Linked DNA regions of Rhinolophus ferrumequinum. The protein of the gene in region 2 purifies or fractionates together with the protein of the main gene of each other region. This does not show direct contact. Links are inferred from orthologs where the notes say so. Each region holds a gene or a part of one and is shown on either strand. Other genes may lie near its edges.

Evidence for each region. The genes of interacting proteins can lie anywhere in the genome.
Region 1: the proteins of AP2S1 (region 2) and FCHO2 purify together in Homo sapiens (co-immunoprecipitation; 3 studies listed by BioGRID and IntAct, counting the BioPlex papers as one, with this or other methods). This does not show direct contact. The link is inferred for Rhinolophus ferrumequinum from reciprocal best matches to the Homo sapiens genes AP2S1 and FCHO2.

The regions. Positions count from the first base shown.
Region 1 is NC_046290.1:46,140,967-46,148,377, forward strand, and holds the start of FCHO2 (F-BAR domain only protein 2), read left to right. Parts: upstream 1-4,362; 5' UTR 4,363-5,048; coding exon 5,049-5,081; intron 5,082-7,411. UniProt on the Homo sapiens protein: Functions in an early step of clathrin-mediated endocytosis. Has both a membrane binding/bending activity and the ability to recruit proteins essential to the formation of functional clathrin-coated pits.
Region 2 is NC_046298.1:42,935,679-42,943,194, forward strand, and holds the start of AP2S1 (AP-2 complex subunit sigma), read right to left. Parts: upstream 3,009-7,516; 5' UTR 2,813-3,008; coding exon 2,810-2,812; intron 1-2,809. UniProt on the Homo sapiens protein: Component of the adaptor protein complex 2 (AP-2). Adaptor protein complexes function in protein transport via transport vesicles in different membrane traffic pathways.

The sequences.
Region 1 (7,411 bases), on a different chromosome or scaffold from region 2:
CAGAGACAGTCTTTTCAGTGTATTAAGTGCTCAATAATTGTCTATTGCCTGAACAAATGAAAAAGAGAGAGTTAATGAGAGACTTAAAGAAGATTAGGGCTAGTTACATTTATATTCAAACAAAAACAAAGAGCAGTGATTGCTTTTTAAATCTTAGTATGCTATAACGTTAAAATAAAATTTAAATGTTTAACAATTGTCATAATCTTATCACCCTAACACATATACAAGGTGTGATCAAAACATTAGGTGAATGCTGCTGTCGAGTGCCATCCAACGGAAAGGCAGAGATCTTTAATACAGGAAGCTGCACAAAGAACCTTATCAACAGAGTGACAAGTTTCAACTTGTTCGGCGCAGTCAGTTGGGTGTGAGCTATGGTTGAGAGAAGATGAGTTTTAAAGTGTGCTGTAAATCATGGATCATGAGCAATGCATTAACATGAAATGGGCAAACAGTTTCATCCTCCATCATGACAACACTCCATGTCACACATCGCTTCTGGTACGGCAATTTCTATCAAATAAAAACACTATGATGCGTCCTCATCTACCTTAGCACCGGGTCTGGCACTGTGTGACTTCTGGCTCTCCCCCAAAGTCAAAATGACCATGAAAGGTAAACATTTCAATCAATTCAGGACATCAAGACAGACACAACAGCACAACTAAAGATACTCATGAAAGAGGACATCAAGAACTGCTTCAGAAAGTGGCAAGAATGATGAGATAAGTGTGTTTCAAATGAGGGGGAGTATTTTGAGGGGGAATAATGGCAATGCGTCTTTTACTGTAATACTTTTTTAAATTTAAATATTCACTATATTTTTTGATACCTCATATATTTTTTCATGTTTTCTTTTGATTTTTGTCTATTTACATGCATTTTTAATGTATTATCCATGTCATCTTCTACCTTTCCACTTAACATTAATGAAAAACATTTTATATGTTTTTACATTATCATCACCTTCATGACTTTCTATAATTTAGTAATTTCTCTTTTCTTATTTTTGAATCCCCTGTTGGGTTCCCTGTGGTCACCAGCACTGTAACCCCGTGAACAATCTGTCAGGTGTTTTTGTGCTTCTTCCACAGACAGAAAGGGAAGAGAAGAGAGTCCCTGGGAAAGTACATCTCATTCTGGAGGAAGAGATGATGCCCCATCAGGGAGCATACAGTCACTCCCTCAACAGAGAAGAAAGGTGTGCCTAGCAAGTTGCTGTGAACCGAGAAGAGTATGTGGAAGGTGGTATTTAGCTCCATCCTGCAGTTTGATTAACTTGTTTCTACCTCCTTGCCCTCATATAGCTGCCTGCCTGGGTACCATCTGCTAAGCTTCTGCTTTTCTTTCTGTTTTGCATAAAGTGTTTGCTGTCAGTATGCAGCTATTGAGTTGGGAAAAACAAGAGGACACCAGACTTCAGGGATCTGCCTGTTTCTCTTCCGCCTTTTAATGGAGCTTAGCTCTTTGCCACTTGTTATTGTCAAGTGCAAGATGAGAACAGAGAAGGAATACTGCATCTGACACAGGATGCTGCCCCTTAAAGAAATCAGCAGGAAACAAGAGAGATTTATAGGAGCTTCTCCTCTGCTACCCTCATCTTGGAAACAAGTGGAAATACATTCGCAAAATCATATTGAAAATAAATGGGAAAATGAGTTTTACTTTATCATCAACTCTTCTAGAATAGAACTAGTTTTATATGAAGTAATGAGGAAATGACCTTGCTAACTAGATGTTCATTAATGTGCTGTGAGCTGTGAACCCAGGATTGGAAATGGGAGATCAAACTAAGGAATGAAAAGGGGGAAGTTCTCTGGGTGCCTTGCCCTCAAATCTTGGAGCTAAACCATATTTTTTCAACGAGGGAATTTAGATTTAGGTTATTTGTGTTAATTTTTCCTCTCTCATTTGCTACTATTTATCAAGTTATTTTTGAGCAGTGCAGGTATGCTTTGGGCTATAATGTACATATTTGGGACACAGTTTTATGGGGACCAACAATATCCTTTGGAAGCCAACATGTTGATGGCAGTTATAATTAGGGAGAGATCCTAAGAGGAAGACGAATCTGGTGGTGGAGGCACCCAAAAATTGAAAGCCAAATTGTTTAGGGGTCCCTTCCATAGCCAATCTTGAATATTATTATTTCAATTTTATGTTATTTTTATTACAAAAGGTAGCTTATCCTTTAAGAAGTATACCCAAGCCCCAAAGGACTCTTTTGAAAATATTTAAAGTAATGAGAGAAAATTAAATCAAATAGAACTTAAATAATGACATTTTTAATAGATTCTAAGATCTAGCACCAATAAAGAGGATGAGTAAATAAAAGAGTGTCTGTGGTATGGAAAAAAAAGTATGAGTAAAAGAAGAATGGAGTTATTGCCTATTCAAAGTCTCATGCACCTTCACGTTTCTATCATAGGCTCAATCACTCATCTATTCTTTCACTGAACACTTACAAAGTGACTATGAAGTGCCAGGTATTATAGGCAGTGAGTGGAACGCTGTTGCTATCTATGCCAGTTTTTTAATAATTTCAGAATCTTTTGGGATAAGCATAGGTAAGTGTGTGTGGCACAAGTACTTTAAGGTCATATGAGTGAGCTCCCCACTCAGGACCTTATCTATGCTCTACCAGAGTGTGTGTGCATCCCTGCAAACCTCACTTGAGAGAACTGAAGGTGGCTGATACCACCCACATTCTTCTTCTACTACACCATCTTGTCTGAAATTTAGTCACCGTAATCACTATTTACTGTAAAGTTCCACAGTTTAAATACCAGGCAATTATAGCCTATGGTGTTTTGGCCCCAATGAACCTTGTAAATACCCGAAATATATAGGATACTTATCTTTATGGCAGGCCTGCCTATAATATTTATGAGAACCAGAGATAAGAGTATAAATGGAGACCAGTGTACCCCGTGCAAGTATTGAATATGTATTATGCTAAATTGTGTTGGAATCACAAATTGGAACACTAAGAGAAGGAAAGTCTGTGCTTGACACCACTTTGTTACCAAACGATCTACTGCATTCAAGCTGAGAGGAACAATTGGACAAGTTAATTGCCTGTCTTCTTTCTTTCTTAAGTACTTCTGCTGCTCAAGTTGTCTGAACTCCACAGCAGTTTATCTCTGATATGGGCAGCTATACTACCCACAAGTTTTCACTGCAGTTGGAGTCCACTTTTTGTTTTGAAGACATAGGGCAAGAGATAAGAAATGTTTTCCTGGGGCTGAATAATGTTGGTCATGGGAGAGGGTATTTATGGTTGTGGGCCAGTGTTCAACCTTAGAACAGGAGCAGCAGAGGCAGCCATGGGTTTTTAATAAATTAGTGTTTGTGATACGTAAGGTCCTTCAAAGTATGGGATCCAGGATTGGGGCATCTCCTTAGGTCTAAGGGGTTTAGAGCTTAGTGATAGGAATTTAATGCCAAGCTTATTTGCAGGGAGATCTAGATGGCTGTATTTTTTCTGGAATTTCTATAGCATCAAGAAAGATAGCGCTAGCCTAATGGCTTAAAGAATTGTAGCATAGTTCTAAGTATGACTTCCCCCAAAACTAGGTGTCAATGACACTTTTATGAGGACTTTCTAAAGAAAGGGAATAGCAAACATATACCAAAAGAGAAGAGTATAGTGAACCACCATGTTTCCATTACCTAGCTGCAGCAATTATCAACTGATGGTTAACCTTGTTTCAGCTACCCGTATTCACACCCCCTCCCTCAGTGAATTATTTTAAAGCAAATTCTAGATGTCTTATCATTATATCCTATATATTTCTAAAAAATATTCTTAAAAAGATATGACAATACCATTACCCAATTGTTCCCAATTCAACAAATACTTTAGTTTCATCCAGTGTAAGCCACTGTGTGGTTTTTACTTTTGAGAATGAAAGTATGAGTAATTTCCAATGAAGAAATAGTGTTGTGTTCATTATGTTTGAAGCCACAAAATCTGAAGATGTGATGTGTTTGTACAGTTAAAACTACAGTAAATCTGTTTGTGGGGCTTGGCTTCAAGAGCTGCAGATTTGGACCTAGTAGCAGATCTGGTGACAGTGAACTTGAGACCTCTCTACAGGAAGTTTTTTCCCTTAACCTTTGGAAAGCAAGGAGAAGGGGATTTGATTTTTCGGTTATGCCGAGGCGTGTTTAAACTTGTTTCTTTTTCCAAAATGTACACGTTGCTAAGAGAACCACGGACTCACATGTACAAGTCCTGAAAAAAAAATTTTTTTTTAATTGCCTGGGTCAGGGAAATTCGTTCGTTTTGGGTCACGTTCCTGCAGTAGGCCACCCTGGCTGGTTTGCTTGGGGCGTGTTGTTAGAGGTCACGGATTCGGTGCCTGGGTCTCGTGCAGCTCCAGTGACTCTCTGGCGACACTGGGCGTTTCCTCCTTTTCAGGCCTTGGAAAGTTTTGTTTTGGTTCTTAGTTCCTTGTCAAAGAAAGGCACCCTGTTGACCAAAGGTTTCTGAGTGTCCTCCAGGTGGCTAGAGGCCAAGTTTCCCCCATCCCAGCTTGCCCAGACTTGGGTCCCATCCGACTCCTAGAAGGCGGGGGAAGCGAGCCTTGTGACGAGGAAGGGAGCGAGCAGCCAGGCTACCGGCTCCCCCGCCGCTGGCCGGCCCCTGTCTTAGCCCGGTCCCTGAGCCAGTACCCATCGCGCCACAAAGGGTGCGGACGGCCTCCCGAGTGACTCCTCAGGGACCCGGTTCTCCACCATTCCCAAGAGAATACTCAACCTAGCCGCGCCCGCGCTGGGGAGAGAGAAAGAGAGAGAGCAGGCGACTGAAACCCGGGAACGGGGCCCGGCGCGCATGCGCGCACCAGGCGGTGTCCTCGAAGTGCTCGTCCCGCGGCGGCGGCCGCTAGGGGGCGCATGCGCCCTGAAGGGTGCGGGCTGGTCTCCGGGAAGAAGGCGGCGGCGGTGAAAGGCGGGGGCGCCGTGGGGGCCGGGCCGGTGTTTACACAGCGGCGGGCGGGCGCGGACGCAGAACCCGGCGCGGCGGCGGCGACAGCGGCACGATGGTCATGGCGCATTTCGTCGAGAATTTTTGGGTAAGAGAGGGATGCTGGAAATAGTGTGGGTTTCGGAGTCTGAGGCTTTCTGCGCCTGACCTCGGCCTGCGTGCGCTTCGGGCGGTGGCGGCGGCGGCGGCGGCGGCAGATCCGCGGGCAAGAAGAGCGTCCTCGGACCGCCGCCTGCTGGGTCCCGCCTGGATGAAGCCGGGCGACGGATCGGCGGCCGCCGGGACTCGCAGGCTCGCAGTCCTTGCTGGGGCCGGGGGCTGTCATCGCCGCCGCGCAGCCCACCCTGAGGACGCCGAGGGGCCGCCCGCCGCCCGCGCTGGGACAAAGCGCCGGATGGGGCGGGAGACAGGACCCGGCCCCGCCGGAGCTCCAGGCGCCGGGCGTGCTCCGCGGCTCGAGCGCGCACGACGGGCCGGCCGCGCGGCCGCCCCCGGCTGCGCGCTGCAGGCGAGCGTCGGCCCCCGCTGGGTGCGGGGGCTCGCCTCTTTCCCGCACGCCAGCCCCCTTCTCCCCCATTTCCACACGAAATCCCGTGCGGGCCGGGGTCGGATCAGCACTTCCTCTCGGCTTCGCAGCTCGGCCCGTTGGTCTGCGCCCAGGACTTTGCCTCTGGGCCTGTTCACAAAGCGTATAAAAGTTGAATTTAATGTAACTGGATTCCTGGGGCTTAAATGCATCGAGACTTCCCCCTTATCCCCGTGCTGCTTCCCCTTCCTCATTCTTTCCACACCCCCTTCTTAACTCAGTATTAGTATTAGATTCTTCTTGGAGATTGACTTCTCAGTCTCCCTGTGGAGTGTTTTGCTGCAGTTATTGTTTGTTGTCATGGGAAGTACAGTTCAGCCATGTAGAGGAAAGTAATATGTTTACTCAGGTATCTTGGGTGAATCTCATTTTATGTCCTGACAGTTGTAAGTACTACAATTCTATTTTAGTTAAGATTTAGAAATATTTAAAGGAGTAATCTGTCTTAGAAAATTTCTAAGTGTCTCAAGCAAGAACTTGCTTAGTAATCAGATCAGTTCATAGTCTTGAAAGTTCCTTGTTTTCCACAAGCGACATTAAATTTTTTTTATAAAACAGCTTTATTGAGGTACAGTTCACATACACAGTACACCCATTTAAGCATACAGTTCAAGGATGGTTTGTATGTTCATAGAGTTTTGCATACATCACGACAATCAATTTTAGAACAATTTTATCACCTCGGAAAGAATCCCTGTATCCATTAGCAGTCACTCCCCATTTCTCTCCTACCGCAGCCCTTGGCAGCTAATCTGTACATTTCTGCCTCTGTAGATTTATCTGTTCCGGACATATCACATGGGATCATACGCATATATGTGGACCTTTGGGACTGGCTTCTTTCACTTAGCATGTTTCCAAGGTTCATCCAAGCTTCATCCAGTTCATCCGATGTATCATCAGTACTTCCATTTTATGGCCAAATAATATTCCATTGTATGTATATAACACAGTTTATTTATCCATCACTAGTGATGGATATTTAAGTTGTTTCCAGTTTTTGGCCATGATGAGTAATGCGGCTATGAACATGTTTGTACAGGTTTTTGTATGGACATATGTCTTAATTTATTTTGGGATTGGAATTGCTGGGTCATATGGTAATTCTCTGTTTTACATTCAAGGAACTGCCAAACTGTTTTCTAAGTGGCTGCACCATTTTACAATCCCACTAGCAATGTCTGAGGGTTCCAATTTTTTCACGTGCTGGACAACACTTGTTATCTGTATTTTTTATTACAATAGGTCAGTATGAAGTAGTGTCTCACTGTGGTTTTGATTTGCATTTCTCCGGTGGCTAATGATGTTGGGCATCTTCTCATGTGCTTGTTGTCCATTTATGTATTTTCTTTGGCGAAATGTCTGTTCAGATCTATTGCCCATGTTTAGATTGGGTTGTCTTTTTCTTACTGAGTTGTAGGAGTTCTTTTTATATTCTGGGTACATGTCTCTTACTAGATATGTGATTTTGTAAATATTTTCTCCCATTGTTTGGGTTGTCTTTTTCATTTTCTTGATGGTGTCCTTTGAAGCACAGACGTTTTTAATTTTGATGAACTCTTGTTGAAGTCCAGTTTATCTAATTTTTCTGTTATCACTTACGCTTTTGTAATCTAAGAAATCTTTCCCAGACCAAAGTCACAAAGATTTACTTCTATGTTTTCTTTTGTGGGTTTTATAGTTTTAGGTCTTACATTTAGACTTATGATCCAATGAAGTTAAATTTTGTGTGGTGCAAGGAAGAAGGTACGTGTTTCCCCAAAAATAAGACCCAGCCAGCCAGTCAGCTCTAAGGCGTCTTTTGGAGCAAAAATGGATATAAGTCCCGGTCT
Region 2 (7,516 bases):
CCAAGCCTCCCTGCTGCCTGCCTTCCCCAGAGCCCAGCCAGGCCGACCTGACCACGTGCTCCCGTCCCAGGTCCCTCCAGTACCCTCTGTAGAGTGATTTCTCTTCCACCAAGTGGTCAACTCCACTCAGCTCCAGGGCCCTGAGTCCCAAGGCTGCACCCCTTCTTGTCTGCCTGACCTTGGACAAAAGATCCACCCCTCTACGCCTCAGTTCCCCCAATGGCAAAACAAGTTTATAAAATGAGTCCAGTGGCTGATAACATAGCAGGCACCCAGTAACTGAGTGTCATTCTTTGGCCTGAGTCCGGTAATGCCAACTTCTTTATTTCTTTTTACTTTTTAAAAATTGAGATATAATTCACATACCATAAAATTCACCTAAAATGTGTACAGTTAAGTGGTTTTTAATATATTCATACAATTGTGCAAAAAACATCACTATCTAATTCCAGAATATTTTCATCACCCCAAAAAGAAACCCCGACTAAGTAGCAGTCACTTTCCCTCCTCCCAGCCCCTAACAACCACTAATCTCTCTGTCTCTGTGGATTTGCCTGTTCTGGACATTTCATATAAGTGGAATACACCATATATGGCCTTTTGTGCCTGGCTTCTTTCACTCAGCATAATGTTTTCAAGGTTCATCCATGTAGTAGTATATATCAGCACTTCATTTCTTTTTATGGCTGCATAATATTCCACTGTACGGATAAATCTCGTTTGGTTTATCTTTCCATCAGCTGATGGACATTTGGGCTGTTTCCACTTTTTGGTGATTCTGAGAATACTGCTAAGATCACTTGTGTATACGTTTTTATGTGGACATGTTTTCATTTCTCTTGGGTAGACATCTAGGAGTGGACTTGTTGGGTTCTACGTGTAACTTTTCCAGGAACTGCTAAACTGTTTTCCAAAGCATCTGCTGCTTCCTAAGTGACTTGACTGCTTAGTGCCTCAGTTTATCCACCTAAAAAATAGGGCCATATAAGGGTGTGATGAGGAACAAACAACATCTGAGAAGTACCCAGAGTAGTGCCTGGTTCAGATAATACACAGTGTCCACTATGATTACTAGGAAAATTGTTTGTATGATTCTAAAATGCCAGGTCAACCGTCACAGGGCTACTAAGAAAACTGAAGGAGTTAATGCCAGGAGTGCTTGCTTAGCAGGGTGCCTACTACCTATCAAGCATTCAATAAAATTAGCTATTATTATGATTGAGGGACATTAAGAACACAAACTCTAGAGTCTGAATGAATCTTGGCACTGCTCACTGTGTTCATGGGAAGCCACTTAACCTTTCTGGACCTTAGTTTCCCCTTCTGTATAACAGACATAATGAGAGTCCTTCCCTCATAAGACCGTTGCACAGCTTAATAAACATAAGGGGTGTAGTATAGTGACTAGCCCATACTAAGTGACATATACTCGTTAGTATTAGTTCTTCGTATTATAATTCATCATCATTTGACTTTGAGAAAATCATGGCCCAGCTAGGAAGGCTGCCTTTGAGCCCAGTTCTGGTTGAGACAGGCATGCTTTATGCCCATTTTATAGATGAAGAAACTGAGGCTCAGAGAAGAAGTCTCACAGTCAGCAAGCAGAGCTGGGAGTCCAATGGCTTTGTTCTGAACCCCCTTACCCCTGCCTTGTGGGAGTCTCCACCCTTTCATGAAAGACCATTCTCTTTCCTAAGCCTTTCTCCATATACTCTCTCCCCTAACCCCAACCAATCAAGCTGGCTGGGAACAGGATATTGCACTTTCCTTCCAGAATCCCTTCTGCTGAGGCTAGGGAAAACCACTTCCTAGCAGGGCAGGGGTGCTGGTCAGGAAGGGAAAGGGCTTGGGGTGGAGGTGGGTGGGACCCACCTCAGGCAGCCACAGCCTAGGGGTAGAGCCGGGATATATGGGCATACAGGAAGGAGACCAGGAAGCAAACCTATTGGAGCTGAGGCAAAGCTGTTCTGACACCACCCCCCATTCATCTCTTTTTCCCTACTTCCTGCCCAAAGAAATCCTTTCTTATGGTTCAAAAGCCATACCCGGGGACGGGTGCTAAATCCAATGGCCCGTCCTTGCTCCACAAACGCCATCTCTCATTTCCATGCCTAATCCGACCCCCCCAACTCAGCTCTCCTTGGAAAGACCTGTTCCATTGCGCCCCATTCATTTCTAGTATCCACTCCCTACCTCCAAGCCTTCTTCCCCCTTTGCAGCACTTTCCCCGACTCTAAACCCATTCCCTACAGTTGTCTACTTCCCGTCTCCACTGTCCAGTCTCTTCCCCTGGGATTATCTCTCATCAGCAGTATCTCGCTCGTTTTCAACACCCCCTCTCCCGCCTGTAATGCCAGCTTCCTGCCTCTAGAGACCCCTTCTCTCTATCCCTATGTCTCTTATTCTTCTCCCACGCTCCTGCTACACTCCTAGAGAGCCCTCATCTCAGGACACCTCCATCCCACCTCCAATTCCTTCTCCCCACCTCCGAGACCCTGCTTTGTCAGTTGCCTCCGTTTTCAAAGCCCCCCAATCATCACCAATGTCCTCCCACCCGCACAACCCTCTCCCCTTGACACCTGATCTCAATGTCCCTAGCCTCCAGTCTCGGGTACACCCCCCCGCGCCCAGAATTACCATTCAGTTCCCCCCTTTCTGGCCTGTGACCGGTCCCAATCCCGAGAGCCCGCGCCCGGCCCAGACCATTGCCACAGCAGCGGGGGGCGACTGTCAGTACCCAGCCGAGCCTCCAGTATCTGCACGTGGACCCACCCTCCTCCTGTCCCCAGCGTGAGCGCGGCCCCGTTACCATGGCGACCCCCGTCCGGACCCCAGCTGGCCCGGTCCCGCGGCGACTGGGCGGCTCCGGCTCTGGAAGCAGTTGGAGGACCCAGGGCTAGAGCGGACTTCCGGCAGAGGAACCCTCTTGCCCTATCGCGCACTTCCCGCTGGGAATTGTAGTCCCAAGAATGGGTTTGCTCGTTCGGGCGGCAGGCCAGTGGAAGACACGATCATTCTTCCAACATGCTGGCGCGCTCCTGTCCGTTTCCCACCAGACGGGTCATGCTCCAAATGCATGCCGGGAGTTGTCGGTGCACTTCTTCAGAAGACTACAATTCCCGAAATGCACGTTGGGCGTTACATTCTGGGAAATGTAGTTCTAGTAGACCCTTCCTTCCCCCGCCCCCCGCCCCCGCACCACTTTCAAGGAAAGAAGGGCATGCTGGGAATAGTAGTTTTAAATAAGAAACTGCGTTTGGGGGAGCTAGAAATGTAACTGTCTTTCGGTGCTCACTTAGTGCTTTGTTTAAAATACCTTGAGTGTTTCTCTGTGGAAGACGGACAGTAGCATATGAGCATTTTGGGAGTCAGAAGTCACACCCTGTTATTTCCGCAATGTCCTACAGGTACACAAATCAGCCCTATCCAGTGTAGGAGGGGATATGAATACCAGGTTAGAATCATTGCAGTCTATCCTGAAACCTGACTACTACAATTGCTTATAGCGGAGGCACCTAGTCTAGGTGAAGACTTAGGGACAAACCTCCCAGAGGGAGTGGCATTTGAGCCGAGATCCGAAGATGAGTGGAAATTAACCAAGCAATGATTATCGTAGGTGGGGGCTGGGGAAGGCAAGGCAGGCAGAGTGCTCAAGCAGGGGCACAGACTTTGTCTCTGCCCCCAGGAATCTCACAGCCTGGGTGGTTGGAGCCTGAGGTGACATTCCACAGAAATAGACGGAAAGGACTAGTCCCAGCACTTTAGTATGAGTATGGACCCTGGAAAGATTCTCTCCTTTGCCATGTCATTACAGCATGCTTGTTATAGGGAAAAATTGGAAAGAGACAAAATATGCATCAATAGAGGAAAACTCAATCACATGCAGTCACATAAAATATTATGCAACGAGAGTTACGATGAGTGAGCAAGATCTCTGTGCATTGACTTGGACGATCCCTAGGACATGTTGTTGAAGAAACAAAGGGAGATGCAGAGTGACACGTATACAGTGTGTCATTTGATTTTTCTTTTTATTTATCTCTCCAACTTTTTGCATAGAAAGTTTTCATATCTACAAAAAGTTGTAGTATTAGCACAATGAACTCCAATGTATTATTCATCTTGATTCACTAATTGTTGATATCTTGCCACATTTACTCTCTCTATATTTATTTGAACCATTTTAAGTGAGTTGCAAATATCATGCTATTTCATCCCAAAAGGCTTCATGCTTCAACATTCCTCTTAAGAACAAAGACGTCTCCTCCATAAACATACAATGATACATTCAGGAAATTTAAATAGTAATACTACACTGGCAGATCTTGCTCTGTAGGATCAGCCCCTGCCAACAGCTCTTCCACTATAGTCAAGGCCAATCCTCATAATCAGTGAGCCTAAGAATCAGTCCCTCACATTGATGTGCAATTATCAACCAAGGCTCAACTACACGAGGAGGGCACACACAACCCAAACAAGGGACTCACCTGGAGTGCGTGGCTCAGATCACCAGAAAGACTGTGGCACTGAACTCCACAGCACACCTACTACATAAGGCCACTCTACTAAGATTGGAAGATGTAACAGCCCTACCTAATACATAGAAACAAACACAGGGAGGCAGCCAAAATGGGGAGACAAAGAAACATGTCCCAACAAAAGAACAGAACAAAGCTCCAGCAAAAGAACTAAGTGAAACGGAGATAAGCAATCTATCAGACGCAGAGTTCCAACACTGGTTATAAGAATGCTCAGTGATCTCATAAAAATGAGATGGAAACCATAAAAAAGAACAAACAGTCAGAAATAAAGGATACAATAATGGAAACAAAGACTATATTACAGGGAATCAACAGTAGATTAGATGAAGTAGAGGATCCAACCAGCAATGTAGAAGATAAGGTAGCAGAAAACACCCAACCAGAACAGGAAAAGAAAAAAGAACCCAAACAATTGAGGAGAGGTTAAGGGGCCTCTAGGACAATATCAAGTGTACCAACAGTCACATTATAGGGGTACCAGAAGGAGAAGTGAGACAGCAAGGAATTGAAAACCTATTTGAAGAAATAATGACAGAAAACTTCCCTAACCTGGTGAAGGAAATGGACATATAAGCCCAGGAAGCACAGAGAGTCACAAACAAGATAATCCAAAGAGGCCAACACCGTGACACATCATAATTAAAATGCCAAAGATTGAAAACAAAGAGAGAATCTTAAAGCAGCAAGAGAAAAGCAGTTAATTACCTATAAGGGAGCCCCCCATAAGACTGTCAAGCTGATTTCTCAACAGAAACTTTGCAGGCAAGAAGGGAGTGGCAGAAAAATACTCCAAGTGATGAAAAAGCAACAACATACAACCAAGATTGTTTCTACCCAGCAAAGGCTGTCATTTCGAATTGAGGGACAGATAAGGAGCTCCCCAGAGAAGAAAGAAACTGAAGGAGGTCATCACCACCAAACCAGTATTACAAGGAATCTTAGAGGGACTTTTTTATGATGGGAGAGGGGTTAAGGACAGGTGAAAGGGGAAGGGATTAAGAAGTACAATGGGTTGTTATACAGTAGTCATGGCGATGTAGGGTATAGCATAAGGAATATAGTTAACAATACTGTAATAACTAGGTATGGCATCAGATAGGCACTAGATCTGTCAGGGGTGATAGATGGGAATGGGGTTGGGGGCAGGGTGAAGAAGGTGAAGGCACTAAGAAATACAAATTGGTAGTTAATACAGTATGGGGAATATAATCAACAATGTTGCAAAGATCATGTAAGGTGTCAGATGGGCACTGGACTTATCAGGGGATCGCGTCATAGACTATGTAGATGCCTGACCAATGCGCTATACACCTGAAGCTGAAGTAGGATAATATGAATGTCAACTATAACTAAATATATAGGTATATATAGTCACAGGATGTGGAGTACAACATAGAGAAGAAAGTCGATGGTATTATAACAGCTATATAAGATGTCAGAGGGGTAGTAGCTTGGAAGGTGGGTTATCACTTTATGAGGGGTTTAAATGTCTAACTATTATGTTGCTTTGTACGCCTGAAACTAATAAAAAAATCAGTACAAATTGGTAGTTACAAAATAGTCACAGGTATGTAAAGTACAGCAATAGAGAATATGGTCAATAATGTCTCAACAACTATGTATATTGCCAGGTGGGTACTAGACTAATCGAGGGATCATTGCATAAGCTATATAAATGTTTAACATTCAGGTGCTACACACCTGAAACTAATATAAAATAATATTGAGTATCAACTGTAATTGACATAAATAAGCACTTTTTTAAAAGGCGAAAAATATTAATACTACACTACTATCTAATATAGGTCCATATAAAAATATCCCTGATCATCTCAGTAATATTCCTTATAGATTTTTTTTTCTGTTCCAGGATCTGGAACAATTGGTACACAAATCTGATTTCTGTTCAATTGAATCCAGAATCATAGGTTGTATTTAACTGTCACGTTCCTTTAGCCTTATTAAATCTGGAACAGTTCCCTTGTCTTGTTAGTATTTCAAGAGGTTGGCATTTTCTAAGAGTCCATGTTTCTACATGATTAGATCCAGGTTTGACATTTTTTGTCAGGAATATCACATAAGTGATGCCGTGTCCTTCTTAGAGTATCCGGCTGGGGGCATGTGATGTTGGTTGGTTTCATCCTTGGTGATATTAAGTTTGACCACTTAATTTCTGTCATATATTTCTTTTCTTTTAAATTAAAGTTTATTGTGGTGACAATTGTTAGTAAAGAGTATATTTCTTTTAAAAGTTATGTGATCCCAAAAGCATAAGCAACAACAAAAAATGTAAATTGAACATAAAAATTAAAAACTTTAATTTTGCATCAAAGGACTATCAAGAGTGACAAGACAAGCCAGAGAATGGGAGAAAATCTTTGCAAACACATATCTGGTAAGGGATTATTATCCAGAGTACATGAAGAACTACAACTCAACAACTCATCAAAAAATGGGCAAAGAGAGGCGGCCGGATGGCTCAGTTGGTTAGAGCGCAGAGCTCATCACACCCAGGTCGCCGGTTTGATTCCCACATGGGCCAGTGAGCTACACCTTCCACAACTAGAGTGAAATGACTTGACTTGGAGCTGAGCTGCGCCCTCCACAATTAGATTGAAAAACAAAACAAAACAACAACTTGACTTGGAGCTGATAGGTCCTGGAAAAACACACTGCTCCCCATATTCCCCAACAAAAATTAAAAAAAAAATTTGGCAAGAGGGGCAGCCGGTTAACTCAGTTGGTTAGAGCACGGTGCTCTTAACAAGGTTGCTGGTTAGATTATCACATAGGCCAGTGAGCTGTGCCCTCCACAACTAGATTGAAAACAATGACTTGACATGGAGCTAATGAGTCCTGGAAAAACACACTGTTCTCCAATAAAAATTAAAAAAAAAAAAGACAGGCAATATCAAGTGCTTGGGAAAACGTGGAGCAGCTGAAATTCTTATACATGTCTATGGGATGTAAATTGG